Linked DNA regions of Drosophila melanogaster. The protein of the gene in region 1 interacts with the protein of each later gene in a biochemical or structural test. Each region holds a gene or a part of one and is shown in the gene's direction. Other genes may lie near its edges. The genes, in order: LUBEL, Ubc10 and Ubi-p63E.

Region 1 (10,220 bases):
CCCCACTGAAGGTCAACCGAGTGCAGCAGCAAAGCGGAAATAGCAAGAACAAACACAACGGCACAACAAAAGCATCAAAGTGTCAGTTGCTTCTGCTTTTGCAGCATAGACAGAACCCACACACAATCCCCTTTCCCCCCGCAACCACCAGCAAGCACCTCTTGTCGCGTTCATTACCAAGGCTGCCCCAACTGAGCCCTAGAGGTATGCGTGACCCACAGTCACTCGTGAGTCCATGAAATATGTCTATGGTATTTTATGTAATGAATCCTACATAGCATCTTAACAAAGTAATAACCAGCTAACGTAACTTAGTGCCAGGTTTAAAACAATCTTTAGTAACTAATCCCTAATTAGTACTACCATGACCCTTGTAGTATTTGTATCTTTTACCACGCTGCTCACGCTGTCATCACTAGTTGTAGTCATACCTTGTTCGATATTCCGTTGAGCAGCTCGTTGCTGTTGCCCAGCACGGTGAGGAACTTGGACTTGAGGGCTCCAATGCTGGGCGTCCGTTCCATGAACAGTTTGATCTTCGATCGCTCGCCGGCGAATCCGCCCGGCGGTGTTCCCGTTCCAGGCATTGCGCCCGGAGTGGGTGGCTGCGGCTTGGCATCCACCATGGAGATAGTGTCCTGCCCCAAGTCCACTGGAAGTACGATGTTCGGGCTCAAGGGACCTGCTGCGCGATGATGCAGTTCCTTGTGGCTAATTGGGAGCGGTCGTAGAGCGTTGCAACTGCTGATGCTTCTGGTATCGATTTTTCATTTGCCTGCATGTCATACACACTGGGTGAAGGTGAACATTGCACTGCAGTTTTTTTGGCGCACTTCATGTACTTTGCAAGCTTAAATTCTTGTACCTTAAATTCGTCACCCTTTTTGATTAATTTTCATTATTATTTTTGCCAATTTATGCAACTTTTTGCTAAGCAAACACTCAGCTTCTTTTGTTTTAAATATATACCTGATTGAATGATCGTAGGTTTTTGGGCTACTAAACTAGTATAGGGCAAAGTAATGTCAGGATAATCGGTAAATTATAAAGGCACTTTTTTAACGCTTAATTTTTCGCACGTACTGCTTGAGCGCCCAACTGGGATACTACTAGTAAATTCTCAATTCCCCTGGCCCACAACTACACACTCTCTCACACACACTAGCGCACGCACACGCCCCTTTTGTACACGCAACACGATGGCGGCAGGCTAACCGTAAATATTTTCCTTTGAGTTTTCCACTCGCGTCCATTGCCTGCAGCGAACATTTCGCGAATGCAGCCGGAAAATGCTGGCCAAAACTCAGGGGTTTCGTTAACATTCGAAGGGCTTTACGTTCGCAGCTGTTATCGATTGCAAGAAAATCTACATAATATCTACATGCCACTTCGAATAGAATATTGCTCGGGAAAAGCTCGGCCGGAAAATGGCGCGCGATTTCTACACAAGCGCTCATGGGAAAGCTTCCCGAATGCTTTGCAGTGGCCGAAGGAGAGGAACCCGGCATTTTAACTTGTTTACATACAGCTGACAGTCAGCTGATCCTGAAAACATCGGCTTGCGTCAAACGCGGCAAGGTCACTGCGTGGGCGGCCCACCCATTTTTGCAGGATGGTGGGCAAATGGTCTCCCAACCGAAAATGTGCGTGCCGGCAATTGTCGAACTTTGACTTTGTCGCGCAGCCAATTTATTATGCATTGTATTTATTTTTAGACCAGCTAGCTAGGAAAACCGAAAATGGACCCACCCACGGAGGCTTTAATTCCATAATTCCCATCCATCGTCCATCCATCGAAATTGCCACTCGATTTGCACCTCCGGCCGGCAGCAGGTGGCCCATGGCGATGCTTTTATTGCTGATACCATTTGTTCGATCCAAAATTAATAGATGTTCTTCTTTATTGTTAGCATTAAATGTGCAGAATTTGTTCAAGGCTAAACTGCGGGAGATCCCTTCAGATACTTGTTTTTCATAAATCATAATTATAGCTGGCGTGTATCCCGATGAACGATTCAGCGCTTTCCCCAGGCGCCACGGTTTTTTGGATAAAATATTAGATAAATAATAAGAATTAATGCGGAAATATTTATGTTATCTGAAATTCCATTGAACTTGAACTTTGGTAATGATATATGTAGGTACGCCATAAAGTTCAATAGTCGATCAGATCGCAGGACATCAATTCGATACAATTGTCATATTTTCATTCATGAAAAAGAAACGCAACAAGTAATCAGTTCCGTATAACAACGTAAAATGTTTAACAACAAATAGCTGAGAATGATATATATTCGAGAATTAATGATATTCACACACGCGACGGCGTCTCGCAGTCAAAATGTTCTATGCCGCTCGAAAACGATGTATTTATAAAACAACGCGAAAATGCTGAAAATAGGAAAGAGATGCGACTGATCGAGGATTGAGGGGATCACCAGGGGGAAACCGTACCAGACGAGACCAGAGGAGCACATAGATCTGCGTTGACTTCCTCCTACTCGGGCGACGACTGGGGACCGCGGACTGCAGTAAAAGTGCTGTTTAGAATCTGATTGAGATTTCAGTTCGCTGGGAGACGATCGTCGAACGAGACCGTAGCTGAATTTTCATGTCGCGCTGTGGCTAGATATCAGGAAAATATATATATCCCTATATATATATATATATATATATATATATATATATATATATATATATTCATGTGCTACCAGCTGGCAGTGGCAGTTTTGAGTGCGGCAAGACGCGTCAAGTGAAATCGAATTATGTAAGTGACCTCTGATTTCGCGGATATCCAACCGTTCATGGTCGATCGAATCCATTACGAAAGTTCAAAAGCCAATTTAAAATCACACCGCAATTAAATCGATCTCAAGTGTTCTAAATATAAAACTCAGCTAATTTTAAACGCGGAGAACGCTCTCCATGGGAAAGTTCAAGGCATTGGCCGGGATAAACAATCAAAGCGTAAAATAAAGTATACAAAATTAAATCAAATTTTTTAAGCTAATTTGCCAATTTGAAATAATGAAAAACTGTGAACTAAAAAAAAAAACGCAAATATAGGCAAGCCAAAGAAATGTTTAAAAATAGTTCCCACCGTTCGTTCTCCTATAAAAATAAAACTTTTTCCCTCGCCGCGTGAGTCTGTGTCTGTGAGTCAGCGTTGCGTTTGCCTCTTGCCAGGCCACTTGCCACTCGAAGTCGCCGCACGGAGCAGGCCGATCTTCTGGGCGGGATTGAGGTGGCACCGGGCCATGCCCCTCCCACCACTGCAGGCGGCTTTCATAAATATTGCTGCACAGTGTGACACAATTTCGGGGCAAATGTATGGAGTGGCTGCGGATGGTTTCAAAAATAGCGCAACAGACACGGGAGTGCAGGCCCAGCGAACACGTTGCGTATACGCAATGCGAGAGAACAGTGTGGCTTGATTTTTGCTATGCTGGCTGAGGCGTCGCGACTCCGAAATTTATGGATAAATTTTATGGCTCGTTACGCACTTAACTAGTGCGTGGAAAATATGCCAGAGCTGCTGGATTAATATATGCTCTAAAAGATATTATTGAGATATAAAACATATTCAATAAACGGGAAATTGTCTCAAAGTATCAGGAATATAAAATGTAGTAAGGAAAACTTTGAAGTGCAGATATGTATATTAAAAAGTTTAATTAACATTCAATCTTAACTTACAAGAATATGCAAGAGATAAATGATTCCTTGGTATCATAGATACACATTTCATAAAACATGAAGAAACATAGATATCTAATAAGTTAATTATATATGAAATATTTAGTTATATACATATAACTTTTACCGGTGCGTTGCCCTTTGAGTTGAAAAGTTTGATGCCTTGGACGCAATTATAGTAAACTTAAAATATATACTAAAGTCAGCATTTGAAATACCTTTACTAATGGAATTATTATGTTGTTTAGGCCATTATTTAATTTAAACTATTTGGCAACGATTTGGCCACCTGCGTCATTACCAAATGCATATTCGCTCAGCTTTTAGTCAATATTTTCCCTCTCTCTGTTAGTTTTATTCGCTCGCTTTTATTTTCAAGCATTTACATGAAATACTCTTCTATTCGAAACTTTTGAGAACTATTTTCAAATTCGAATTCTTCTCCCTAGTCTAATCTCTTTTGCAATTTTCTTGGCATCTCAGCCACTTAGCCGCGTTGACAGAATGAGTCGATTGAGTCACAAAACAGCACTTCCCTCTTTCGCATGATTTCATAAATAAACAAGACCGAAAATGTTATGCCAAAATATATACATTTTTCAATTTTTGTTTTCTATGCACCGAAAGATATTTTCGACTACATTTAGCGTTTTTATTCGCGATCGAACTGTGGCAGCGTTTAGTTTTGTGCACGGCATCCACGAAACTGCATTTTGGTCATTGGCTTCGGAATTTGGGTGAGCCAGCTAAAAATATGCATTCATAATTCGCATTTTCTGGCACTTTGCTTAATTGAATTTGAAGTCGTTTGAAGTGGCTGCGGTTGGGCGAAAATATGGCACAGGGTATTTGCGATCTATAAATAATTATAATAATATTAATATTTTGCTGCTTACGTATTTCGATGAAATAGAAAACCAATCAAGCGCAAAAAGACGATTAAGTGACGGCAAAACCCAGACGAAAAAATCGACCAAGATGACGACCCACCAGTTGCTAAACAAGAATGTTCGCACCATGCCCTCCTGGGTGGTAAGCCAATATCCAGTTTGCCAGTCAATATCCAATTGCACTAATTACCCATTTCAGATGGAGGCAAATGACCGCATTGGGCCCAAACCGCCACCCACGCCACCAAACGGTGTGGCTGGTGGTCTTCCCAAGGCGCCTGCTCTGCCGCCCAAGGCGAAGAGCACTCCCGAGCCGGACTACGAGATCATCGAATTCTCCAGCCAGCAGTACTCCAACGAACCGATGAAGACCACAGTGATCAGAACCAAGACACCAGGTGGGCAACCTTTTTATATATTCCACTTATTTAAAATACTACCAGAGATAATTATCACTTGCAGATAACAAACTAAAGTGCACCTTGTGCGGTTCCCAGAATCCCTGGGTAACCTGTGCCGAGTGCGCCGGCCAAATCTTTTGCGCCTCCTGCGACGACATGTTCCACAAGCATCCCAAACGTAAGCAGCACATGAGAAAGGTAAGTTCTCCCGATCCATTATGAATTTGAACTTAAGAACTTCGTTTTGCAGGCTGTGGAGCAGGGCACACCGCCGATTCCGCCAAAGGCACAGGCCGGTGGTGGGGCACCACCACCAGTGGCACCTCCACGACGCAGCAAACGAGGCCTTTTGACACCGTTTCTGGGCCGCAAGGATCAGGTACGCCACTGCACGATCTCCTAGACCCGTAAGAAAGGCTCCTTCATGGGCTACACGTAGTACCAAGTTTGTAAACTTCAATTTGAATGCTTCAATAAAAGAGTCCTTACAACCAGAACGCCCGACCAAAATTGTAGAAACAGCGATCCAGACATACTTTTTCAATTGTTACCCGAATACCCATACGAAATGGCACCCAACCCGACTCTTTTCCAGATGCTGCCGCCGCCCTCGCCCACGCCCTCGCACAAGTCGCTGGGCGGCTGGCGGGGATCGCTCGGTGGCGGGGCCACGCCCCCAGTGCCACCAATTGCCACCAGCTCTGCCAACCAGATGAACAACCGACCACTGCCCGATCCACCGCGCAGCGAGGGCGGGGGATCTTCCAGATCGGGCACCCCCAAGTCCGTGTTCGACACCATCCAGCGACCGCCGTCGGTGCAGCTGGAGAAGATCAAGAGCAAGGCCAGCGCCACGCTGGACCGCATGGCCATTCTGCAGCAGCGGTACCGCCAACAGAAGGCTCGCCAGGATCTGAGCGCCAACAGCGAACAGGTGAGTGACCCGTTGACCCCGAATCACAATCGTACGAGTCCCCTCATCACTGAGTGTATCGTATTGTCTTTGCTCGGCGAAAATTGTGTCAAGGATCAGTTATAATTGTAAATGAAATGTTAATTTATTAATCATTGATCCTTGATAGTATTTGATCCTTGCACTTCGTATCGTATCGTCTCGTCTCGTTTCGTCATGTGTCGTTTCTCCCTTTCCTCTCTCTCTCTCTCTTTCTTTTTCCGTTTCTCGTTGGTCATTTCCCAAGCGCAGCATTTGTCGAATGAAGCCGGCTTCGAGCACTGGTCAAACATTTCACCATCGCCCTCGCATTTTCGTTCCGGCAGCATGTCATCCGGCCTGAACTCATCCCATTTCGATCTCTCGGATGACTCACAATTTCACAATTCCTTGCTGCTCCAACAACGACAGGCGGCCGGCGCCCAGCGGCGACAGATGAGCACATCGGTGTTCAATCTCAACTCGAATCCACGTCGACCACTGTCCGAGGCCCAAAACGGAGGTGCCTGGCTCGCCAATCAGCGCATCCAGCAGGTGAGTTAGAGTTTCATGCTCCCTTAGAAACTAAGATACCATCCCGCTTGCAGGCCCAATCCCTGGCGCAGCTAAACTGCGCTGGATGTCAACAGAGTCAGCAGCATCCTGGCTGGGCACAGCATCCGCACCAAGCACTTCCTCAGCACCAGCATCCCGATCAGTGGTCACAGTTCGGCTCCCAACAGCAATTCAACAACTCCAATCTGTCCCTGAACGTTGGACCGGGTTACATGTCGCAGCAACATCATCCACACTATCCGCCACCAGTGTTTATGACCCAGCGTGGTATGATGCCCAATGTGTATCCAGGAGCACCAGGCTATCCCATGATGCATCCAGGTAAAATGAGGCACTATTAGTTATATTTTAATTTACATATTGCACTTTAAATGCGCAGGTGTCATGGGAATGCCACCTTCAGCTGCCTCCAGAGCTGCATCCCGTTCCCGGTACGCTGCATCACCAACACCCAGCCGCAAATCGATGTCCTTGCGTCGCAAGCGCAATAGCTACGTGGATGACGAACTTACGGATGACGAGGACTCCGACCAGGATGACCGCAGATCTTTGGTGTCCAATCGCTCGGGCATGACTAGTGCCTCGCGCTCCCAGCATCACCAAAACCATATCCAGCCCCGCCAAAGGCGCCTGTCCAGTGCCTCCCAACTCATAGCCAGCGATGAATTGGACGGCGATCAGGTGCATCACAAGATGCGGAATCGTCGGGGATCCATTGCCAAGTCCGTGCAGAGTGAGTGGCTACCGGAGCGACGGGAAAATGAGGGAACCCTTACCAGAAACAAAACAGCAACGGACTCGGCCAGAACCAGTCGCATTTACTCCGATCTGGAGTCTGAGGGATCGGGTGCTCGGGCCTTGGTTCAAGCTAAAATTCAGCAGAAGCTCCAAGAAGCCGATCAGCACAAATCCTCGAAGAAGGCTGAGCCAAAACGCAAGCCGGAGATGAAGGACGAGAATACACAGGCGGCAGCGGTGGTGCAAAAGGTGGTGGTGCCACCAGCCCATGAAGAGAGTGCCTCGGAATACGAGGAAGTGGTCGAAGAGGTAACCGCCTCAGAGAGTGAGGCTGAGGCTCAAACAGCACCCGATCCCCAGGAAGTTCCTGACGAGATTGGGGCTGATGATCTCGGCCCACCACCTTCTACCCCAGACCACGAATGGGAATGCGAGTTCTGCACGTTTGTGAACGAGCCCAACATCAAGATCTGCTCCATATGCTGCAAGACGCCCAGCAAACCTCCAGTGCAGCCCAACAAGGCCAAAAAGGTAGAGGAAAAACCACAGCCTCCAGCTGAAAAGTCTAACAATATCAAGGCGTCTTCCAAGACGGAAACTAAGCCAGTGCAAAAGCCTACTACAAAGAGCCAACAACCCAGTCAGAAATCCGTTGCTGCTCTTTCGAAGACTACTCACACCAACTCCACGTCTAGCTCAAAAGCGTCGCCAGCTGTAAACTCCAAGACCACCTCCAGTATTCCTATCAAGACACCATCGAAATCCACACTGAAAACTTCGTCGGAAAATGAATCCGATAACTCGCTGGCCAAGAGTCTTCTGCACAAAGGTAGGATACAAAAGAGAATCTCATTTTTCGAAGGCACAAAGACCTAAGCCCAACCACCAAAGACTATACCTAGTTAGTACACTAATAGAGCCATCAACTGTAAGCCTACAATTAACGCATTTATGGAAACGAAATACAAAAGAGAACCATAACCCAAGCCGCATTCCGTTTGTTTGATTTCAATCCGTTGGTGACCCCGATCCCGTTCCCCCAAAAGCTAATGCTCTCATCCGTATCGTTCCAGAGTCCGTTGAAAACATTTGGAATACTCTGGATGAGAGCATACAGGCGCAGGCGGAGCAGGTACTCAAGAAGGCTCAGAAGGTCTCCACGGCCTGTGGTGGGACTCCTCCCCGGGAAATAGCAGCTGTGGAGATGGGAACCTCCCCGCCTCCACAAAGCATTTCCACACAGACCTACGACGCTCTGCCCTTCAATACAAAGCAAGAAGAGATCATCCCCGTTGTTCCTGACCGCTTCACGACTCCAGAACCAAACAAGATGGAGCGACGTCCGCACTATCGCAGCAATTCCCAGCTGCAACAGGAGAGTGAACGTTATCGGAGTGCCAATGACCTGAGGTATCACGACGGCTTTGGATTGGATCCATATAGTGCCGGTCTGGTCACCAAAAGACCCAATTTCATAAACGAGCTACGCATGCTGCAGCTTGTAAGTATCTATGGCAATACTTGATAGTTGACATAATCCAACGGATCCATGTGTTACAGCAAGTATCTTCACCTTTCGATATGCCGCATGAGACATTCGGAGTCAAGCATGAGCCGGCCAGAGATCCGGAAACGGAAATGCACATCATACTGAAAGAACTGGAGCTGTACAAGTTTACGGTTGAGGAACTGGAAGCTGCCCTTAAGTACTGCTCCCCGGAGACTCATCCGATTCAGTGGCTGCGCGAGAACTGGCACAAGCTGGTGCAGACGGTGCAGAGTTTGTCAACCAAGTACGGACAGGAGAGGGGTGAAAACACGATCGGAACTGTGTCCCAAAACGAAGCACGCGAGGCATTGCGCAACTCGGGGGGAAATGTGTGGCAGGCGGTGGCTGACTGCATCCAACAGAGGCAGCAGAAGTACAGGAAACTGGCGGCCAAGGGAAACTTCCTGCGCGATGACATTGTCAACGCGCTGACTGCGCACCAAGGTAATGTGGAGCAGGCGCTGGTGGAGCTGAATCGCACGCAACTCAAGCCATTTCTAATGCGCATCTGGGGCTCGCCGAATGGCGTTGAGAATGAGAGTGGCGTGGCCATAGACACCAAGTCGGGTTAGTTTGTAGATCGTGCATCAGTCAATCGCAGTGCCATAATGTCCCATTTTTATCTCTCCCCCCGCGCATTCATTTGCCAATACAGATATCCATGACTTCTTGAACACACACGCCTTGGACTGCCTGCAGCCTCCGTTGGCTGGGCAAAGTCCCAGCCCCGCCCAAGCCAATCCTTTCGACCAACCCCGCACCGACGAGAGCCCCGTCAAATCCACCTATGCCACACCCAGTCCCTATCAGATGGAGGACAGCACCCTGAAGAACCTGGAGATACTCATTGGCAACATGGAACAGAACCAGGCCAAGCAGAACCAGGAGGTTCTACGTTCCATCGAGACCATGCTGGACACATTCAAGGGAAAGCCGGAACTGGAGTACGAAACGGATCCGGAGATAATGCGTATCCTAACAAAGAGCCCCATTAGCACAATGAAACCATCTGGACCGGCAGAGGATAAGTCAACCGATGATGTAAAGAACTTTGTATGGCAACACATTCAGGAAATTGTGCCCAACCTGGTGCAACAGGTTGAACAGGAGCTCATGGAGAAACCGGAAGAGGTAGCTAAAATTGAGGCAGAACAGCCAAAGGAGCCTGAACCTCTACTCGAACCTCAGCCTGAGCCCACACCAAGTGTCGATCCTGCTGTCTACATCATGGAGGAAGTCATCAAGCCCAATTTAAGGGAAGCCAGCATTCGTGAGGAAGTTCAACCCAGTTTTATCTATGCCACTGAAATAGCCAACTTCAAGTTGGAATTTGATCGTGGCACTGAACGATGGCACGAGGCGGAATGGGAAAGCAGCGATCTTACGGATGCAGAACGCATAGTATACAAATGTTATATGGCTCCTAATGAGCAACCCAA
Region 2 (8,816 bases), on another chromosome or scaffold:
CTCGCTCTGCCCACAGCTGCTGCTCTTGATTTTAGTTTTCGTTTTGTTTTATGTTTTTTTTCCTTCTCCTTAGCTTTTCCTTGGGCGATTTTACAAGCCGAAAAATTCCAGAAATTCTTCAAGATTTTTTCGATAACCTTTTCGAGTAGTAGTTATCCTTATCGTAGGTTCCTGACTTCAAACCTTCGCGTGGGTTTGGTTTCCGTTTTTTTTTCTAGGGGGTCTAGCGTTTCTTTAGAGAGTTGACGGTGCGCGGGTGGCATTTACATATTCCGCTCCGGATTTACGGGCGAAAATCTAGCGATTCAATGGCCCCGTGCACCAAGGGGCACATTTCACAAGCGTTACGAAATTTATGAGCAGCTGGAGCTGCCACCGTAGTTGTTGTTCTGGCCTTTATTTATTTCTTGTGCTAGTCATTACACTGCCATTGTATATGTACATATATATGTAGGCGCCGTTGTGTGCGTGCGTCTGTGCGTGTGTGCGTGAGGAGGGGGTGGGCTGGAGTACCACCACATTGACACGCAACTTGGCTAAGTGGAGCGCATTGTTTGGCCCGTTGGGCGGATGGGGCGTATGCGTGATTTTCTCCACTTGTGCTGATGTTGCTGCAACAGCTGCAACATGTAGGCATCAGCAGCTAATTGCACTTGTTTGTAACTCGAAACGCCAGCGATTTTTGGTCGTTGCACTTATCACAAATCAGCTGCTTGGGTTCTTTTGTTGACCATTGCCTTTAGCCTGGCTATCTATGTATATTATATGTATATTTTGTTTTATTTTCTTGTTGTTGAACCAGCGCTTCCGTTCAGATTTTCACTCAAACACCACACACACGTTTATATTTTCTTTGAGGATTTTTGGGCGAATGGGTGGGCGGGAAAAGGGGGTCGCGTTTGTATGTATGTATGTTTTTGAGGAGCAGCGACGAGTACATACGAATTTTTGCCACTAGAATCGGAATCGAAATGTGTATATTTGTATATATTTTTCTTTTTCGCCCCGAAATTGTTTTGCTTGTGCTTCGATTTTTTTTTTGTGAATTTCTTTACGATTTTTTTCGTTGACTGTTGAGAATGTGTGTGTGTGTATGAATACGAATTGGGGGAAACTGCAATTTTCGTGGTCACTGGACTGCCTGGACTGGCATTTTCACATTTTCACATTTCGCCCTCGGCCATATTTTATTATATTCCTTCGTGCTCGGTGCCCCCGCAATGGCAGCCAATTCCCATTCGATTTCTGCGCTCTGCGATTTTGGCTGCTCAGCACCAGCAGCACCCAGAAGCTGAAGCCAAAATCCTCGACGGGTCGATTCGAGCGTTTCGAGATTCTCTCCGCTCGGGCAAAGGCAGGCGACTGATTTCCAAGCAGTGCCGTGTCGCCAGCTCTTGATTTTGATTTTCCAATGCGCGCGCTCCTCCCGAGGAACGCAAGATAACGGCGAGTGGAAAGTGGGCAGCCGGGGGAGGGCTCCATAGGTGGACTGAGCGAAAAGCTTTGTGGAATTGCTATACAGTTAGAATTCCTGGTACACACAGGAGAGGGACTGACAGGCGGAGAGCGCGAGAGAACGGACGGTAAGACATGTGCGCGAGTCGGAAAAAGAGAATAAAGCTCGGGACTCTTCGCCCCACTGGAATTTACCGCAAAGCTTTGGGGCCAGAACTTATAAACTTTCGGCAGGGTTGCACTTACATTTTGATTTTGGGATCCCGTTGATTTCGAAAACCGTTGTTTTTAAAATGTTCGAATGAAATGGTTATATGAAATACTTTACTTTTCATAAAAATTAATATATTTTTTATTTACTATTGAAATTTCACAAAACTTTCGGAAACTAAAAGAAACTTTCTTGGGGTTTGTACACCTAAATTACGTGTATAGTCGGATGGTACTGTCCGCGCCCGTGGAGAAGACCCATGGCTGCACCGGATGCCAGTTAACATCCAGCACACCAAACTCATCGCGTTTCTCGTGTGTTTGCAGCTTCTTGAGAGGCACAATCAAAGGGTTTTGCAGCAGGTCACTAAAAAAAAGTTTGGAGAAATTCGTAATTAACCTTGGGCAATGTTGATTTATAGCCACTTACTTATAGACCATGCCATGGGAGACGATCACAGCCTGGTCATCGCTGCCGGAAGCAAAGAGCGGATATCGAAGATGGAAAGCAACACTGCGAACTGCATTGCGATGGAGTCGCATGGTCTGGTAGGGCTTTGTGGACAGATCCAAATCGAACCAGAGCATCTTTTTGTCATAGGTGGACACCAGCAGATTGTCGCCCTTGGGATGAATAGACATGCCCGATATCCATTTGGAGTTGGTCAGCAGCTTCTTGACAAGCTCTTGTTTGACCAGATCATAAATGCGAATGTTGTGTTGCGTCTGTAAAGAAAAAACAGAATTCAATAAGACATACTAACAAAAGAAAATTAACCCACTTACCGCCACAAAGAAGCAGGGCTTCACCGGATGGAAGAGCACGAATTGGATGAGACCCTTGCTCTTGGAGAATGGAATCTGTGAGCGCCGCTTGGACAACTGATGAATTAAAGCCGAGCGGTTAGCACCTTCGGGCATCACTGTGGCCAAGTAGTCACCACGACCGTGCCAGGTCACCTGTCGGATGGGTTTGAAGTGGGTAATCACTACGCGGACGCCCTTCTCCTGCTCATCAGCTTCCGCATTTGACCATTGCACCGCCGTCTTGATGCGTTCACTTTCAATGACATCCTGACTGGGCGCCTCAGCCAAGAGATCGTCGGTCTTCTTCACCAGCACCTTATCGCCCACTTTAGGATTGACGAGCAGCAAGCGATTGCCAGTGGCCACCGCAATAATAGACAGCTTGGGATTTGGACACCAAGCCACACAGCGTACCACTTCGTCGGTCTCGATTGTGCGAATGCAACGACCTGTTGCAATTTCCCAAACTGTGAGGTGAGATGGATTAGTAAGAAGATATCTAAAAGGTTGTCAATTAAATTAGTACTTACTCTTGACGGTTTTATCATCCGAACCGGAGACGAGGTACTCTCCCTTGGGCTCCACACTAACAGACCGCACCAGATCGGTGTGGCCACGGTAAACCATACTCTCCACCGTGGGAAAGGGTTGCAGGTCACGCGGCGAGGGCAACTTGGGGATAAGGTACTCGGCATCGATGTTCAGCTTGACACGCTTTGCACGGGGACACAGGTAAAGATCCAGGCAACGAAGGAAACGCTCCCGAAGGTATCTCGAGTATGCGGGCACCTCCCTCAGCGACTTGAACTTCTGTGGCATGAAGTGCAGCTTGCGCTTGTGTGGCTCGTCCTTTAGTTTAAGCCACTCCTTGGTCTCCTTGGCATCGAAAAGATACTCTGGCGGTGGATTGTAGGACTCGGCATGACCGGGAAGGTCGCGTTTGGGCGCAGAGACTGGATCGTGGATGCGGCGCATGTGTTCCCGACTGGTGTCCGTTTCCCACAGCATGTAGAACTTGGGACCGCGCTTGGCCTGCTTCTCGCGTTCCACTTCCTCAGTGGTCTTCATCCAGCCCATTTTGAGGGCGTGCACCATGCGAGAGACGCGCTTTTTCTCGGAAACTGAGGGCAGGAAAGAGCGTTTGTGGTCGGGTACGTTCTTGATGGGCATCTTTTCCACCTCCGATGTGAACCATTCGATCCAGGGCTCATACTCTTCGTGATCCTTGTTGGGTATGCGACCCGAAACGATGCGCTTGATCAGAGCAATGTCCTCGTCTGTTAGGCGCACATCCTGACCGGTAAGTGGATCCTTGACGGTACGCCAAAAGTCTGGGTCCTCGATCTTACGCAGGAACTCATCAATTTGATCTCCTTGTGGTGGTTTAATAATCTTCTTGGCATCCCAGTCGTAACCGATGTGCTTGTATTCGTCGTACCAGTGCATGGGTATGTTGCCTACAGTATTTCTTATGTCCTCCTCGTCGGAGGTATCTGAATCCTGATACTCAGGCTTCGAGCTATCCCGTTTCGGGAGCTCTGCTGTAAGGGCTTTTTTAGACGCGGCACCGCTTCCACTGGGCTTATCGTCTGTTTGCTTTGACTTGGAATCCTTCTCCTCATCTTCCACTTCCTCTCCATCAGTGCTTTCCTCCTCTTCATTATCCTCTTCATCACTACTTTCTTCATCTTCCTCAGCTGATGAAGATTGCTTTCTGCCCAAGTAGTTGCCCTCCTCATCGCTCTCGAACTGCAGTTCCTCACTGGAATCCGAGTGGTATTCCTGGTCTATGCCCTCGTCATCTGTTGAATCTTCGCCGGGATCTTTTACAGCTTGCAGCAGGTCCTTAAAGAGCACAAACACACATGCAGGTCATTTTGAAATGACTTTTTATATCACTGTCAATGGGTCTTACCTCCTCCTCCTCCTCGTTTTCGGAAGCCTCGGAACTGGCCACCACTTCATTTGTGGGTTCCGAATCCTTTCCTCTGCGTTTCAGAGCTAGTTTTTTGGTCATTTTGAGGTAAAAACAAAACTAACGCGGCGCACGTGTTGCAGTCAGCGATAGCGATGGGAATCGCCTGAAACGGTTGCCTATCGATTGGCTTGCCGCCACTGCTGCTGGTAATCGGTTACAAATCCATTTGGAAACAGCAACCCTTTTATTTTCATTTGTTACCTCTCTTAAAATATACATCTATAATAAATACTTTCCAATAAAGATTTATTTAGTATTAAACATAATATTACAGCCGTTGCAAGTTGCAAAATCAAGACAAAGTTATACATGACCAATGTATATGTATACCAATTGCAGCGCCGTTGCGAGCAAGTCTGCAAAATACCCTAACGCTAATTGGAAGATTCTTCAACGAACCATTTTCAGCGAAATTCGCAGACTTACGTGCGGATTTTTTTGGGCCAGTGCGAAAACCAAAGGTGACACCCCGCAACTGGAGCACTAGGAGCTCACCAACAACGAAACACCGGCGGCTGAACGAGAGTATTACATATCCGGAAGACAAAACCATCGATTTGCAGCTCACACAAGGGCAAACAAAAGTGCACACGCACACATTGGCAAGGTGGCCCCCTCCTCTTTCCGTTCCACACACACCTACGCACACACCAGCATAAGAGAACCCACACATAGACATCACGATGACTGCGCCGCGACGCCTGCGAAAAGAATTGAGCGATTTGCAGGGCAACGCACTGAAGTCCTTCCGGGACATTAAGGCGGACGATGACAACCTGCTGCGCTGGACGGGATTGATTGTCCCGGACAATCCGCCGTACAACAAGGGCGCCTTCCGCATCGAGATCAACTTTCCGGCGGAGTATCCTTTCAAGCCGCCCAAGATTAACTTTAAGACACGCATCTACCATCCAAACATCGATGAGAAGGGCCAGGTGTGCTTGCCCATTATCAGTACGGAGAACTGGAAACCGGCCACACGCACCGACCAGGTCGTGCAGGCACTGGTGGACTTAATCAACGACCCTGAGCCGGAGCATCCGCTGCGGGCGGAGTTGGCCGAGGAGTTTCTTAAGGATCGCAAAAAATTCGTGAAAAACGCCGAGGACTACACCAAGAAGCACAGCGAAAAACGTCCGGCCGACTAGCGGATAGGCGGAGGTAGAGCTGGAGGAGGTGGGCCAGTCCACAACCCATGTGTACCCTTACCCCTTAGTCTTGTGATTTTTCTGTTAGTTATTTAATTTTCATTCTTGATCCATGAAAAACTATCCTCAGAAAACATTTAAGCAGATATTTCCCCGGCAGAGTACCTAGTTTTGTAAAAGTAGCACTGTAATTTGATGCAAGTGAGAAATACATGTTCGTTATGTTAAAATACAGCTGCCGACTCTTGGATGGAACCGACATCTGAGTTGGATGTCGGAGCTACGGGCATGGGAAATGATTCCTCGCCCAACATGCTACGGAAGCAGGTCATTACAATGCTGTTGTTGTGCTGAATGAGGGCCTTGCTGAACTGGTTCTTCTGCAGCTCCTTAATGTCCAGCAGGCTGTGAATGGCCCCCGCCTGCTCGTCCTTAAGAAGTTCCAGCACCTGTTCCAAGGCACTGTTAGCCGTATCTTTTAGCTTACTCAACGTGAGAGTTTGCGCTTGATTGCTATTAAAACAACAATCCTGATAAACGCTCTCTATGAGAAATAAGAGCAGCGACGCCGCGTAATGGGTGAGAAACAGGAACTTGTGGAAGACAATGCTGTCGGGCTTCAATTTCTTTACTTCTTCCAGGAGATCAATGAAAAAGCGCTGCTGGGCGGTGTGGAATGCCTCGTCTTCTGTTGGTGGCAGGTAGCATAGTGTCTTGCTTTCCAACTGGCACTTTGGCGCAGACTGCCAGACAGGGTCGAGTTCAAATGTGTCCAGGATGCGAAGGCGCAGAATGAGTATTGGTTCCGAGGCAAACATGCTGCTTTGCAGGCTCTGAACAGGTGCTCCTCGTGAAATGTGAAGATTCAAGGGTGCCGTTCTGTTCTTAACGTATGAATACGGTGTTCTATTGTTAAGACACTTCTCCAGTTGATTAAATTCCCGACGCAAGCAGTAAATCTGCTTGAGAAGGTCACCGTGTTTCAAGGACTCCCTTTCTGTGTAGGAACCGCCATAGACAGGCACTTGGAATCCCAGAGCCTTACTGGTGGCCTCCTTGTCCACGATGCACAGGCTATCTTCTAATGGCTTCACTTTGTATAGACTGTAGTAGGTGTTCGCGACAAGACTGCGCAGGTGATGAAGATGTCTCAGATAATGACGATCATTGGACTCGTAGGCATAGATACTGCCCTCGATGGCATCCGTTTGAAGCTTCATGTACATACGGCAGGCGATCTCGTGCTGCATGAGAAAGTCGTGGGGAATCTGGAACTTGGCAAACAGTGGCATTACCAATGTGTCATTCGGCTGAGCAAGCTTGCTCTTTATCTCCTCTAGCAAACGAGGCAAGTCGGGATGGTCCTTGTTGTAGTTCAGGCAGATAACATACACTTCCGAATTTCCCCGCTTGGAAGTAGCCGGCTTAAAGATGTGTACCTCCTCAAAGATGCAATTGAGTGTATAAAGTAGAGATACACTGCAAGCCTCGAAGAGGGTAAACATCTTCACTAGGAAGTTACCGCCACTTGAGAGAATTCTTAAGGCACTGAGTACTTCAGCAAAGAAAAGGCGAACCACTATCTCTTCCTGGCAATCAGGCTGTGCGGCACAATCGATGGAACCATCGGCAGTGACAAGATCCACCTGTCCCTGGAACTCCACCTCACAACGTTCCACCAGGTGGTCAATGTTGGCCACATCTAGTAGATTTCCAGTTAGATCTTTGTGAAAGAACCAGTTGTCCAGCGTGTGGACGATGAACCTGTCATCGCTGATCATCTGGTTTATAGCATTGCCTTCATAGTACGGATTCAAAGTAGTTGAGCGCCAGCGCCATTTAATCTGGAAAAAAGAGTTCCGTTCTCGTATCTCTCAAGGATGACTTGATAACTCACCTCATCCTTTTCATATTTGCTATGAAGGTAATGATTCAGAGATGCTATGAAGGCACCGGGTGCCTCGCAGAGATGCATACTGTTGACAGCCGGCTTCGTGACCAATGGATAACGATGCAGGCACTCGAACAACTTGCACCATGCCACAGTTACAAATTCGGCCTTCGTGTCGTTTTTCAGGCGCCAGGACACCTCGCCAGAAGGGTCACGCCTGTTGGTGTGAGCACTCCATTCCTGCACGCCATAGTCATTGAGTTTGCTTTTAACCGCATTCAGCTGCTCGCGCAGTCCCTGCAGCGCCTCGAACTGGTAGAACTCACTGAAGAGAGCCTGATCCGGTGGCGGCAACTGCCAGGATTTGTTTCCTTTCGGCTTCTGATAGTGGAACTTCTTCTCGAAGAGCTGCTCCACTTCGGAAGGCCGGATGGACTGATAGTCCGTCTGTAAAGTGTGAAATGTAATGACTGACTTGTAGGATGTAGCATCCTTTACTCACCATTGGGTGTGGCTTTCCCTGCGGAGACGAACGAAAGCTCATTCCGGCTAAATTTAAATGCGAGGCGTCAAAAACAAAGCGATCTGCGACACAATAGAGATGGAAAAAGCTCAAAGCGATCCATCGCCTAAATCTTAGCGACGGTAACTAAAAATCGCAAACGTTATCGATTAAGCTATCAAATTTAAATTGATTTTCCGGGCTGCAATGAATAATTATTTTATATCTCTAATGCAATATTATAGCTAATTCGTAGATGCAGAAGATTTGGCTAGACGTTTCCATAGCTTGTATCTGAAGATGAATGGAATAAGAACAAAAGCCATCAAGAATTCCATCTTGTTTAAAAGTTAAAGGTTGAAAAATAACTTCAGCCAATATGTTAAATGCAATTGTTTTTTTTTTTTGCCGCATATTTCTTTTAAAAATGTTTCTTAATTCTAGGTATTTTTCGACTAATTCCCTTTATCAAAAGAACAAAATCGCTATCTCCTGTAGAAATGTAACTTCCTTTCCACCTTCGACGGCGATGATCGTCAAAGGCATTTCCCGTAGATGCCCGATGGTGGAAACGTGGAAACTGATTTCTTTGATTCTATGGAACTATCCATTTAGAAAGCGCACGGCAGGCGACAAATAAGGTGCCTGCAAAGTGTGCGGTTACGAAACTATTGGTCATCATCCGTTAGTGATTCGATTGTGCATACTAATATTTCATTAAAATCTTATTTTATTGATGCGGATAGCCCAAGTACGGAAGTTGGAGAAATTGTCGGAAAGTTACATATACATACATATAAACTTACACTCCCAATCGGAATGTGG
Region 3 (11,245 bases), on another chromosome or scaffold:
GATAGGCAGCCAGGCAAGAAGTCAGCACAGAGAATGAAACCCAGGCACCGATCTCATAGGTGTAGTTGGGGCAAGAAACCAAGCTGCAGTTCGAAGAGCGCGAATTAATAAACTTGAGCTGTGGGTTTTTTTAGTGACCACTTACTCGAACAGCTTGGTGAGGGGATTTCCATCGGCCACCGGAATCTTGCGCACTTTTGTTCCCGGCGGACGCAGGTTGCGCAGGGCAATGTGCACCGAAAAGTTTCCTAGTTCGCAGAGCTGAAAGTGAAAAGTGTGCGGCTTAGTTTGTGGGTCTGCAAATATGATTAATGGATCCCAAATATATAGCACATATAACATTACAAATTGCTTGACCAATTTTAACAAAAAGCTACACCTTTGGTATTAAGAAACAAATGTTTCGAACAAAAGCAAAGGAAACCGGTAGATTACGAAAACATATAACCCAGATCCATAAACCATGGCCGCGGATACATACAGCGAATGCCCCAAGAGCTCCCCAAACGGTGCACATGCAGGGCGAGGTGAACTGCGGATGGTTCACGTGGTAGGACACATAGGCGGTGAATCCCCAGTAGTATGTGCAGTTCTTGAAGAGATTCCTCAGCGGCATGGTGGCGTGCGAGAAGCGGTGCACGAAAATCGTCTCCAGCAGACGCTTCACATAGTGGACCGTATAGCAGCCGGCGGCAATGCTGGGGCAAAAGAGAAAAGAAAGCGGGTTACTGGGTGAACCACCATCCAAAGTTCGGGGATAATTATGCAGAGCCGTTGCGTTTTAGTTTGCATAAGCGACGAGGTCGATTAGGTCGACAATCGAAAGACTTCAGAGACTACTTTCTACAAACTCACTGGGTGGTTAGGGAAATCGGCAGACTGGCAGCTTTGCCGTACACCAACTCCGGTCGGAAGTAGAAAATCAAGTATACAATCAGTGGGCCGGCGTACTCGGCCAGGAAAACGGTCTTCCAGCCAATCTGGGGACCCAGATCCTTCACATAGATCTTGTCGCCGGAACGCAGCGACAGGGATTCCAATGTGTCCGTATCCTTTAGGCTTTTGCCCTTCAGTTCCAGACGAAGCGACTGGCGATTCGCGTGTGGGGTCTGCTTCAGGGTCTTGTGAATTAGGGCGCGCAGATCGCCGATGGGCGTGGCGCCGGAGGGCACCTTCACCTTGCCGTACGGCTTGCTGTTCTTCGCGTTCAAAATCTCCAGCTCCATTTTGCTTTCGGTGCGCTTGCAATCAGTACTGTCCAAAATCGAAAATCGCCGAACCGTAGTGTGACCGTGCGGGGCTCTGCGAAAATAAACTTTTTTAGGTATATGGCCACACACGGGGAAAGCACAGTGGATTATATGTATTAATATATTATCCAGGTTTTCATTACTTATCCAGATGTAAGCCCACTTAAAGCGATTTAACAATTATTTGCCGAAAGAGTATAAACAAATTTTACTTAAAAATGGATTAAGAAAAGCTTGTGTAAGATTATGCGCAGCGTTGCCAGATAGCTCCATTTAAAACACTTCAAAAACAATAAGTTTTGAAAATATATACATAAATAGCAGTCGTTGCCGCAACGCTCAACACATCACACTTTTAAAACACCCTTTACCTACACAGAATTACTTTTTAAATTTCCAGTCAAGCTGCGAGTTTCAAAATTATAGCCGGTAGAGAAGACAGTGCTATTTCAAAAGCAAACTAACAAGGGTCTTAAATTCCAAAACACCAATCCTAACAAGCCTTGGACTTTTGTAAGTTTAGATCAAAGGTGGCATTGCATTCAATGTCATGGTAAGAAGTAGGTCGTCTAGGTAGAAATCCTCATTCAGCCGGTCAAGTCAGTACGAGAAAGGTCTCAATTTGAAATTGTCTTAAAAATATTTTATTGTTTTGTACTGTGGTGAGTTTAAACGAAAAACACAAAAAAAAAGTGATACATAGAAATCATAAAAAATTTTAATACAAGGTATTCGTACGTATCAAAAACATTTCGGCACAATTTTTTTTCTCTGTACTAAAGTGTTACGAACACTACGGTATTTTTTAGTGATTTTCAACGGACACCGAAGGTATATAAACAGCGTTCGCGAACGGTCGCCTTCAAAACCAATTGACATTTGCAGCAGCAAGTACAAGCAGAAAGTAAAGCGCAATCAGCGAAAAATTTATACTTAATTGTTGGTGATTAAAGTACAATTAAAAGAACATTCTCGAAAGTCACAAGAAACGTAAGTTTTTAACTCGCTGTTACCAATTAGTAATAAGAGCAACAAGACGTTGAGTAATTTCAAGAAAAACTGCATTTCAAGGTCTTTGTTCGGCCATTTTTTTTTATTCAACGCTCTACGTAATTACAAAATAAGAAATTGGCAGCCACGCATCTCGTTTTCCCAATGAATTGGCATCAAAACGCAAACAAATCTATAAATAAAACTTACGTGTTGATTTTCGCCAAGATTTATTGGCAAATTGTGAAATTCGCAGTGACGTATTTGAAAATTCGAGAAATCACATACGCACTCGAGCATTTGTGTGCATGTTATTAGTTAGTTGTTTAGTTAATTGAAGTATTTTACCAACGAAATCCACTTATTTTTAGCTGAAATAGAGTAGGTTGCTTAAACAAAGCCACGTCTGAAAATTTCTTATTGCTTGTAGTTGTGACGTCACCATATACACACAAAATAATGTGTATGCATGCATTTCAGCTGTGTATACATACATGCACACACTCGCAACACGAAAACGATGACGAAGCAACGGAACAAAGGTTTCTCAACTACCCTTTGTTCCCTGTTTCTTCGCTTTCCTTTGTTCCAATATTCGTAGAGGGTTAATAGGGGTTTCTCAACAAAGTTGGCGTCGATAAATAAGTTTCCCATTTTTATTCCCCAGCCAGAAAGTTAGTTTCAATAGTTTTGTAATTTCAACGAAACTCGTCTGATTTCGTACTAATTTTCCACATCTCTATTTTCTTCCCGCAGAATAATCCAAAATGCAGATCTTTGTGAAGACTTTGACCGGAAAGACCATCACCCTCGAGGTAGAGCCCTCGGACACCATTGAGAATGTTAAGGCTAAGATCCAAGACAAGGAAGGAATTCCCCCAGATCAGCAGCGTCTGATCTTCGCCGGCAAGCAACTGGAAGACGGACGCACCCTGTCCGATTACAACATTCAGAAGGAGTCCACCCTTCACTTGGTCCTTCGTCTCCGTGGTGGTATGCAGATCTTCGTGAAGACTTTGACCGGAAAGACCATCACCCTCGAGGTAGAGCCATCGGACACCATTGAGAATGTGAAGGCCAAGATTCAGGATAAGGAGGGAATCCCCCCAGATCAGCAGCGTCTGATCTTCGCTGGCAAGCAGCTTGAGGATGGACGCACCCTGTCCGATTACAACATCCAGAAGGAGTCCACCCTTCACTTGGTCCTTCGTCTCCGTGGTGGTATGCAGATCTTCGTGAAGACTTTGACCGGAAAGACCATCACCCTCGAGGTAGAGCCATCGGACACAATTGAGAATGTTAAGGCTAAGATCCAAGACAAGGAGGGAATTCCCCCAGATCAGCAGCGTCTGATCTTCGCCGGCAAGCAGCTTGAGGATGGACGCACCCTGTCCGATTACAACATCCAGAAGGAGTCCACCCTTCACTTGGTCCTTCGTCTCCGTGGTGGTATGCAGATCTTCGTGAAGACTTTGACCGGAAAGACCATCACCCTCGAGGTAGAGCCTTCGGACACCATTGAGAATGTTAAGGCTAAGATCCAAGACAAGGAGGGAATTCCCCCAGATCAGCAGCGTCTGATCTTCGCTGGCAAGCAGCTTGAGGATGGACGCACCCTGTCCGATTACAACATTCAGAAGGAGTCCACCCTTCACTTGGTCCTTCGTCTTCGTGGTGGTATGCAGATCTTCGTGAAGACTTTGACCGGAAAGACCATCACCCTCGAGGTAGAGCCATCGGACACAATTGAGAATGTTAAGGCTAAGATCCAAGACAAGGAGGGAATTCCCCCAGATCAGCAGCGTCTGATCTTCGCCGGCAAGCAGCTTGAGGATGGACGCACCCTGTCCGATTACAACATCCAGAAGGAGTCCACCCTTCACTTGGTCCTTCGTCTCCGTGGTGGTATGCAGATCTTCGTGAAGACTTTGACCGGAAAGACCATCACCCTCGAGGTAGAGCCATCGGACACCATTGAGAATGTGAAGGCCAAGATTCAGGATAAGGAGGGAATCCCCCCAGATCAGCAGCGTCTGATCTTCGCCGGCAAGCAGCTTGAGGATGGACGCACCCTGTCCGATTACAACATCCAGAAGGAGTCCACCCTTCACTTGGTCCTTCGTCTCCGTGGTGGTATGCAGATCTTCGTGAAGACTTTGACCGGAAAGACCATCACCCTCGAGGTAGAGCCTTCGGACACCATTGAGAATGTTAAGGCTAAGATCCAAGACAAGGAGGGAATTCCCCCAGATCAGCAGCGTCTGATCTTCGCCGGCAAGCAGCTTGAGGATGGACGCACCCTGTCCGATTACAACATCCAGAAGGAGTCCACCCTTCACTTGGTCCTTCGTCTTCGTGGTGGTATGCAGATCTTCGTGAAGACTTTGACCGGAAAGACCATCACCCTCGAGGTAGAGCCATCGGACACAATTGAGAATGTTAAGGCTAAGATCCAAGACAAGGAGGGAATTCCCCCAGATCAGCAGCGTCTGATCTTCGCCGGCAAGCAGCTTGAGGATGGACGCACCCTGTCCGATTACAACATCCAGAAGGAGTCCACCCTTCACTTGGTCCTTCGTCTCCGTGGTGGTATGCAGATCTTCGTGAAGACTTTGACCGGAAAGACCATCACCCTCGAGGTAGAGCCTTCGGACACCATTGAGAATGTTAAGGCTAAGATCCAAGACAAGGAGGGAATTCCCCCAGATCAGCAGCGTCTGATCTTCGCCGGCAAGCAGCTTGAGGATGGACGCACCCTGTCCGATTACAACATCCAGAAGGAGTCCACCCTTCACTTGGTCCTTCGTCTCCGTGGTGGTATGCAGATCTTCGTGAAGACTTTGACCGGAAAGACCATCACCCTCGAGGTAGAGCCCTCGGACACCATTGAGAATGTTAAGGCTAAGATCCAAGACAAGGAGGGAATTCCCCCAGATCAGCAGCGTCTGATCTTCGCCGGCAAGCAGCTTGAGGATGGACGCACCCTGTCCGATTACAACATCCAGAAGGAATCGACCCTTCACTTGGTGCTCCGTCTCCGTGGAGGAATCCAGGCTTAAACTAAATACATTTCCAAATAAACACAATTTAGCACGCACTTCACTCTAAATAAATATGAGGAGATTATGGATGGCCACTTTCCTTTCTGCATTGTCAAAAGGGAAGACATCAGAAAAATTCTAAATTTCAGTAAACGCCATGACATAAATTTTATTAAATCTATTAAATTCCAAAATAAATGAAAAAGCTTTAAATTCGCTTATTAATTGTGTGGTATTTTTTTTAATTTGGTACTGGAAACGTTTGGTATATACTAGCACACTACATTTGGTAAAATGTAACCCTGGTTGGCAAACACGGACGCGTTAGTACCTTTTCATTATTTACCTTTGGCCAAAATAAATACTTTTAATTCTGTGCGGAAAGAAATGGCTAAATTATTGCAACGCGTAGAAATTACGTTACGCAGCTTTTACATTTTTAACTCGACTTTTGGCCAAGTTGAAGGCGAGGTTGGCAAATCAATTTTAAGGCTAAGAAACGCCCCTAATGAGTAATTTTTTTCAGGAACACAAGAAGGTTTTGTTTTACCATCCAAATGACATTGAATTAAATACGAAAATCAAAGATGTGGGACTAAGTGAGGCCATCATAAGGTTCACTGGGTATTTATGGAACTTTTTACATAGAGGGAAGTGGGTAATAATACAGAGTTTGCTGTACTTGCAGAACTTTTACATCTGAAGATGATTGCCAGGCCTTGCATACCCAGAAAACCACACAACTCTTCTACCAACCCGAGCCAGGGTATTGGTTAGTACTGGTCCTGAATGTTCCCAAGGAGGTGCGCTTAAAGGAGGGCGTGGAGGTGGCCGATTATCGGGGTGCCGAGATCTCCGACAGGATTTATAGAGCAATACTTAGACAATGCTATCAAATGTTTCGCTTTCAAAACGGATGTTTCTCCTCCTGCGGAAGTGAAGAACCTAATCCGGATAAGCGTAGGGAACTGCTCTGCCAGAAGCTACTCCAGTTCTATGATCAGCATCTGACCAACCTGAGGGATCCCGCGCAATGTGATATCATCGATATGCTGCATTCCATTCAGTATCTGCCATTGGATAAAACGCTCTTCTTGCGGGCCCAAAACTTTGGCACCCTGTGCGAGACCTTCCCCGACATCAAGGAGAGCATAATGCTCTACCAGGAGCAGGTCCTTTGTGGCGGAAAACTTAGCCCGGAGGATCTGCACTGCGTGCACTCGTATGTCGTGCAACACGTGCTGAAAGTCGAGGCCAGCAGTTCCACCATTGCAGTTTCTCCTTCACTAAAGCGAAGCATAAGTGAATGCCAGGTGGGCGGATTCGTAAGAAGTCGTCAGAAGGTCGCAGGAGATGAACATGACGCTGTGAATGAGGAAGATCATCCAATGAAGGTCTATGTGACACTGGACAAGGAGGCCAAACCCTACTACTTGCTCATCTACCGCGCTTTGCACATAACTCTGTGTCTGTTTCTGAATGGTATGTTAAGGATTAGAACTAAATAGCCAAAATAATCAACTTGAAACATTCCACATTTGTCAGCTGACCAGGTTGCGCCGAAACAAGATCTCTACGACGATCTCCATGCCTACATGGCTCCCCAACTGACTTCGTTGGCCCGGGACATATCCAGCGAGTTGACAAAGGAGGCGGTGGGTGCTGCAGGCCAGGACAACTCCAGCGGGAACAGCGAAACGGCGCCGAAGTACTTGTTCATTAACGAACAAAGCCTGCAGCACCACACGAACTTTCAGAGGCACCTGCCCCAAGGGCTGCCCCGCAATGTGCTTAGTATCATTGCGGACTTGGCCAATGGCAGTGGCAAGGCGGAAATGGAGAGTGCTCCTGCCGAGGAAGTTCAGGTCAAGACCACCAATGACTATTGGATTGTGAAGCGGCGCTGTAACTACAGGCAGTACTATGTGATCCTGTGCAATAGCAAGGCCACCTTGCTGGACGTCACCCAGGAAGCGAGGCGCATTTTCGAGCAAGAGCTCACAGATGATGTATTTTTTGACAAATAAAGAGGAGGATTAGGTAAATAATGGGAGTGCGCCAATTGTGGGGTCTTTGTCCGGTTGCTTGCCAACAGAATCTGCAAGTGGGTCGGACATCCGACGACGGATTTCAAGCCAGCACTGCCCCGGAATCGCTGGCATCGTTATACACGCTGTTCGACGAGGAGGAGCTCGTGGTCGTGGTGACGCCATTCTGCGATTTGCTGATCTTAATGATGTATATTCTACGGTTGGACATGCAGATGCTGTAGTAGTGATGCTCGTAATCGATGGTGATCCTCTCGCAGCTGCTGCTCGGCATGAAGGACTCGTCGATGCTACAATATAGGCGTAATTATTACAAAATTCCTTCATCCTTTGTTTAAAAACGCACGTCTCTGTGAGATTTAGTAATCCCATTATCACATTTGCACTGCGCTCATCGTTCTTCAGATCTCCGCCGGACTCCAGAACTGCTCCATCTTCCTTTAGTATCAGATAGCCAATTTGATTGGGCACAATCAACTTTTCCCTGTCCATTTTCAACATATTTATTTATTTATCTTTCGCACCCACACCCACCAGTGTGACCGGACTAGATCCATTTAGATACCAAATCGGTAGCCTGGCAGCCCGGTTTCAGTGTTGTAAATTGCCACATGCGCGCCATTGACACAAATTCGAAATTGGGACACCGGGCTAAGGTTAATTCATTCAAAAGACAAACAACGCACATCAACAGGAAACTAAAACTCCGGCTCTAAGTCAACAGAGGGCGTGGTCGATAAGGGGGCGTGTGCAGGTGCATGGCTAATGCGTCCGTCTGGCGAAAAAGTGGTAAAAGGCCACGGACAAGGAAATTCCGGACACAGTCTCTCCGGAATGGCCAACTACTATCGACGCAAGAAGGGTGACGCGGTGTTCCTCAATGCAAAACCGCTGAACAGTGCTAATGCCCAGGCATACTTGTACGGGGTCCGCAAGTACTCCATTGGATTGGCGGAGCGATTGGATGCGGATTACGAAGCTCCTCCGTTGGATAGGAAAAAGAGCTCGGACAGCACGGCGTCCAATAATCCGGAATTTAAGCCGGTTTGTGGATTGCTACGCTGTTAAAACCATTTTTGTAAAACTGAATTTCGCTGCTTTCAGAGTGTTTTCTACCGAAACATAGATCCCATCAATTGGTTCTTGAGGATTATTGGAGTATTACCCATCGTGCGACATGGTCCTGCTCGTGCCAAGTTCGAAATGAACTCCGCCTCCTTTATTTACTCGGTGGTTTTCTTTGTGCTCCTGGCGGTGAGTGTGGTGTTTGCATAACATTTTTCAAAATTGACTATGGATACCATTATGTAACCCAAAACCGCTTTACAGTGCTATGTAGGCTATGTGGCCAACAACCGCATCCACATTGTGCGCTCCCTGAGTGGACCCTTCGAGGAGGCGGTTATTGCATACCTCTTTCTGGTCAACATCCTGCCCATTATGATTATACCAATATTGTGGTACGAGGCCAGGAAGATAGCAAAGCTCTTCAATGATTGGGATGACTTTGAGGTGTTGTACTACCAGATATCCGGGCACAGTTTGCCTCTGAAATTGCGACAGAAGGCGGTGTACATAGCCATCGTGCTGCCAATTCTCTCGGTTTTATCGGTGGTCATCACGCACGTCACCATGTCGGATTTGAACATTAACCAGGTGGTGCCCTACTGCATCCTGGACAACTTGACTGCAATGCTGGGTGCCTGGTGGTTCCTCATCTGCGAGGCCATGAGCATTACGGCTCATCTTCTGGCGGAGCGGTTCCAGAAGGCACTGAAACACATTGGACCCGCTGCCATGGTGGCAGACTACCGTGTTCTGTGGCTACGACTGAGCAAGTTGACCCGTGATACTGGAAATGCCCTGTGCTACACCTTTGTTTTCATGAGCCTCTACTTGTTCTTCATCATTACCCTTTCGATTTATGGACTAATGTCGCAACTCTCCGAGGGATTTGGCATCAAGGACATAGGACTGACTATCACGGCTTTGTGGAACATAGGACTGCTCTTCTATATTTGCGATGAGGCACATTATGCCTCGGTTAATGTGCGAACCAATTTCCAGAAGAAACTACTCATGGTGGAGCTTAACTGGATGAACTCGGATGCCCAGACGGAGATAAATATGTTTTTGCGAGCCACCGAAATGAATCCATCGACCATCAACTGCGGTGGCTTTTTTGATGTGAACAGGACTCTCTTTAAAGGACTCTTAACCACAATGGTCACTTATCTGGTGGTTTTGCTGCAGTTTCAGATCAGTATCCCCACAGATAAGGGGGATTCTGAAGGCGCTAACAATATAACCGTAGTGGACTTTGTAATGGACAGCCTGGATAACGATATGAGTCTAATGGGAGCCAGCACTCTGAGCACCACCACTGTAGGAACCACTTTGCCACCGCCAATTATGAAGCTAAAGGGCCGGAAAGGCTAGTGGAACAAATAATCCTAAGACAAGAAAGATATTATTAGATAATGTGCATCTGTAGCTGAGGCCAAATAATAAAAGCACCCAAAACTGAATATTCCAAACATTTTTCTAACTTGATGTACATTAAATTAGTAAGTGTGGAAATAATAAAAAACACGTTCATTAGATATGTTACAATTTTGCACTTTTATTTGATATTCGTTCTGTGCCACAAAATAGAAATACCTAAAATATTGCTAGTCAACAGAATTTAAGGCATATTATAGTTAAGTAGTGGTAAATCTACTGAGAAACTAAGCTTTAAAAAATTCGTTGCTACAATACATATTTGTATGAACGCCAATTTATTTAAGACAAGTTTTTCGTTTCAAGATTTTGGGGCTTAATCAATCTCGGCTATCCCGAGAGTTTCGCTGCCGTAGCCTAGGGGTTAGAGAGTGCGACCTTCGCTTCGAAGTTCCGAGTTCGAGTCGCGTTAGTGACCAAATATTATTATTATTTTTTTTATTTTTTAAGGTGCTTTGGGAGCTATTTCTACACAAAAATAGTTTATAGTTTAATCGCCGAACGCTTTGAACCGATTCTGCATTTCTAATAAGCCGCTCCATGTCCGTTGGCTATATAAAATAGTATCTCTACCAAAACCATATCACACTCTGTTTTGCAATACAGAATTTGCAGTGCAATTGCAATCAAGACACCTGATGGGAAGTTCCAAAAATATCCAATCTTTCAGTACATGTTTAACACTGTCCATCGGGAGACTCGGTTAGAATGTGCTTATATCCATTGCTGCCCAGATACATGTGCTCGCGTTGGAAACGATAGGGTATCTAATGTATAAGAAAGTTACTATTAAAGTTTTCAAAATATTGATACCAACTTACGGCTCCTGGAGCTGGACATGGTATGGCCACAGTGGCAATCTCTCGAAGCTTATTCATGGTGCGTAGACTCTGGTAGAAGCTATGCATCACATACCACTTGCAGTAATCCATGCAGATCAAGATGTAGCAAATGATAACTGAAATATAAGATAATTCGTTATTATTTACTTCAAAATTTAAGCCTAAAAATCCAAACTTACAGTAGGGCACTTGACCACCCAGCAATTGCACGATTTTTGTATCCCTCAGCATGAAGACCAGTGCCCCCAAACCAATCATTAATAGGAACTCCACAACCAGCCAGGGTATGATTAGGCCCGGCCGATTTTTGAAGACTCCGAAAAACAGGAATATGGCACTCAGGGCGTAGGTACCCGCGATACCAGCCATCACGTAGAGCAGATTCTCCGTGGCGACGGCCAATTGGGCAGCGGTTTGCAGGCGAAGATCGTTGTGAAAGGGCGACATGTTGTAGAAACCATTGTCCTTCTGGTCCAAGATGTCCAGCTCCAGCACCTCGCACATCTGTTCGGCATGCGCCAGTCCCAGGAGAACCAGGAAAAGGGCGCAGTGGGAGATTAACTGGGGAATAT

Evidence for each region.
Region 2: of the proteins of LUBEL (region 1) and Ubc10, one has a biochemical effect on the other in vitro, tested with the Drosophila melanogaster proteins (one study listed by BioGRID).
Region 3: of the proteins of LUBEL (region 1) and Ubi-p63E, one has a biochemical effect on the other in vitro, tested with the Drosophila melanogaster proteins (one study listed by BioGRID).

Annotation. Positions count from the first base shown.
Region 1 is NT_033779.5:6,765,099-6,775,318, reverse strand, and holds the start of LUBEL (linear ubiquitin E3 ligase), read left to right. Parts: upstream 1-4,350; 5' UTR 4,351-4,433; intron 4,434-4,609; 5' UTR 4,610-4,674; coding exon 4,675-4,728; intron 4,729-4,785; coding exon 4,786-4,984; intron 4,985-5,048; coding exon 5,049-5,185; intron 5,186-5,237; coding exon 5,238-5,366; coding exon of another isoform or gene 5,367-5,390; exon of another isoform or gene 5,391-5,482; intron 5,483-5,582; coding exon 5,583-5,921; intron 5,922-6,191; coding exon 6,192-6,473; intron 6,474-6,526; coding exon 6,527-6,815; intron 6,816-6,873; coding exon 6,874-8,061; coding exon of another isoform or gene 8,062-8,108; exon of another isoform or gene 8,109-8,223; intron 8,224-8,305; coding exon 8,306-8,733; intron 8,734-8,792; coding exon 8,793-9,348; intron 9,349-9,436; coding exon 9,437-10,220. Other genes in the region: CG17378 (uncharacterized protein), read right to left, coding at 432-626.
Region 2 is NT_033778.4:17,785,420-17,794,235, reverse strand, and holds Ubc10 (ubiquitin conjugating enzyme 10), read left to right. Parts: upstream 1-4,825; 5' UTR 4,826-5,133; coding exon 5,134-5,598; 3' UTR 5,599-5,822; downstream 5,823-8,816. Other genes in the region: CG5033 (uncharacterized protein), read right to left, coding at 1,879-2,032, 2,096-2,391, 2,452-2,939, 3,003-4,317, 4,388-4,489; aft (adrift), read right to left, coding at 5,823-7,442, 7,496-7,936, 7,992-8,033.
Region 3 is NT_037436.4:3,893,522-3,904,766, reverse strand, and holds Ubi-p63E (Ubiquitin-63E), read left to right. Parts: upstream 1-1,582; 5' UTR 1,583-1,763; intron 1,764-1,846; exon of another isoform or gene 1,847-1,912; intron 1,913-2,059; exon of another isoform or gene 2,060-2,240; intron 2,241-2,716; exon of another isoform or gene 2,717-2,914; intron 2,915-2,996; 5' UTR 2,997-3,007; coding exon 3,008-5,299; 3' UTR 5,300-5,336; downstream 5,337-11,245. Other genes in the region: Sc2, read right to left, coding at 1-83, 146-261, 482-698, 856-1,226; Ccz1 (Caffeine, calcium, zinc sensitivity 1), read left to right, coding at 5,669-5,752, 5,808-5,905, 5,970-6,763, 6,827-7,308; Lamtor4 (late endosomal/lysosomal adaptor, MAPK and MTOR activator 4), read right to left, coding at 7,412-7,619, 7,676-7,830; Gr63a (gustatory receptor 63a), read left to right, coding at 8,164-8,373, 8,434-8,583, 8,659-9,768; Fie (fire exit), read right to left, coding at 10,509-10,598, 10,653-10,789, 10,853-11,234.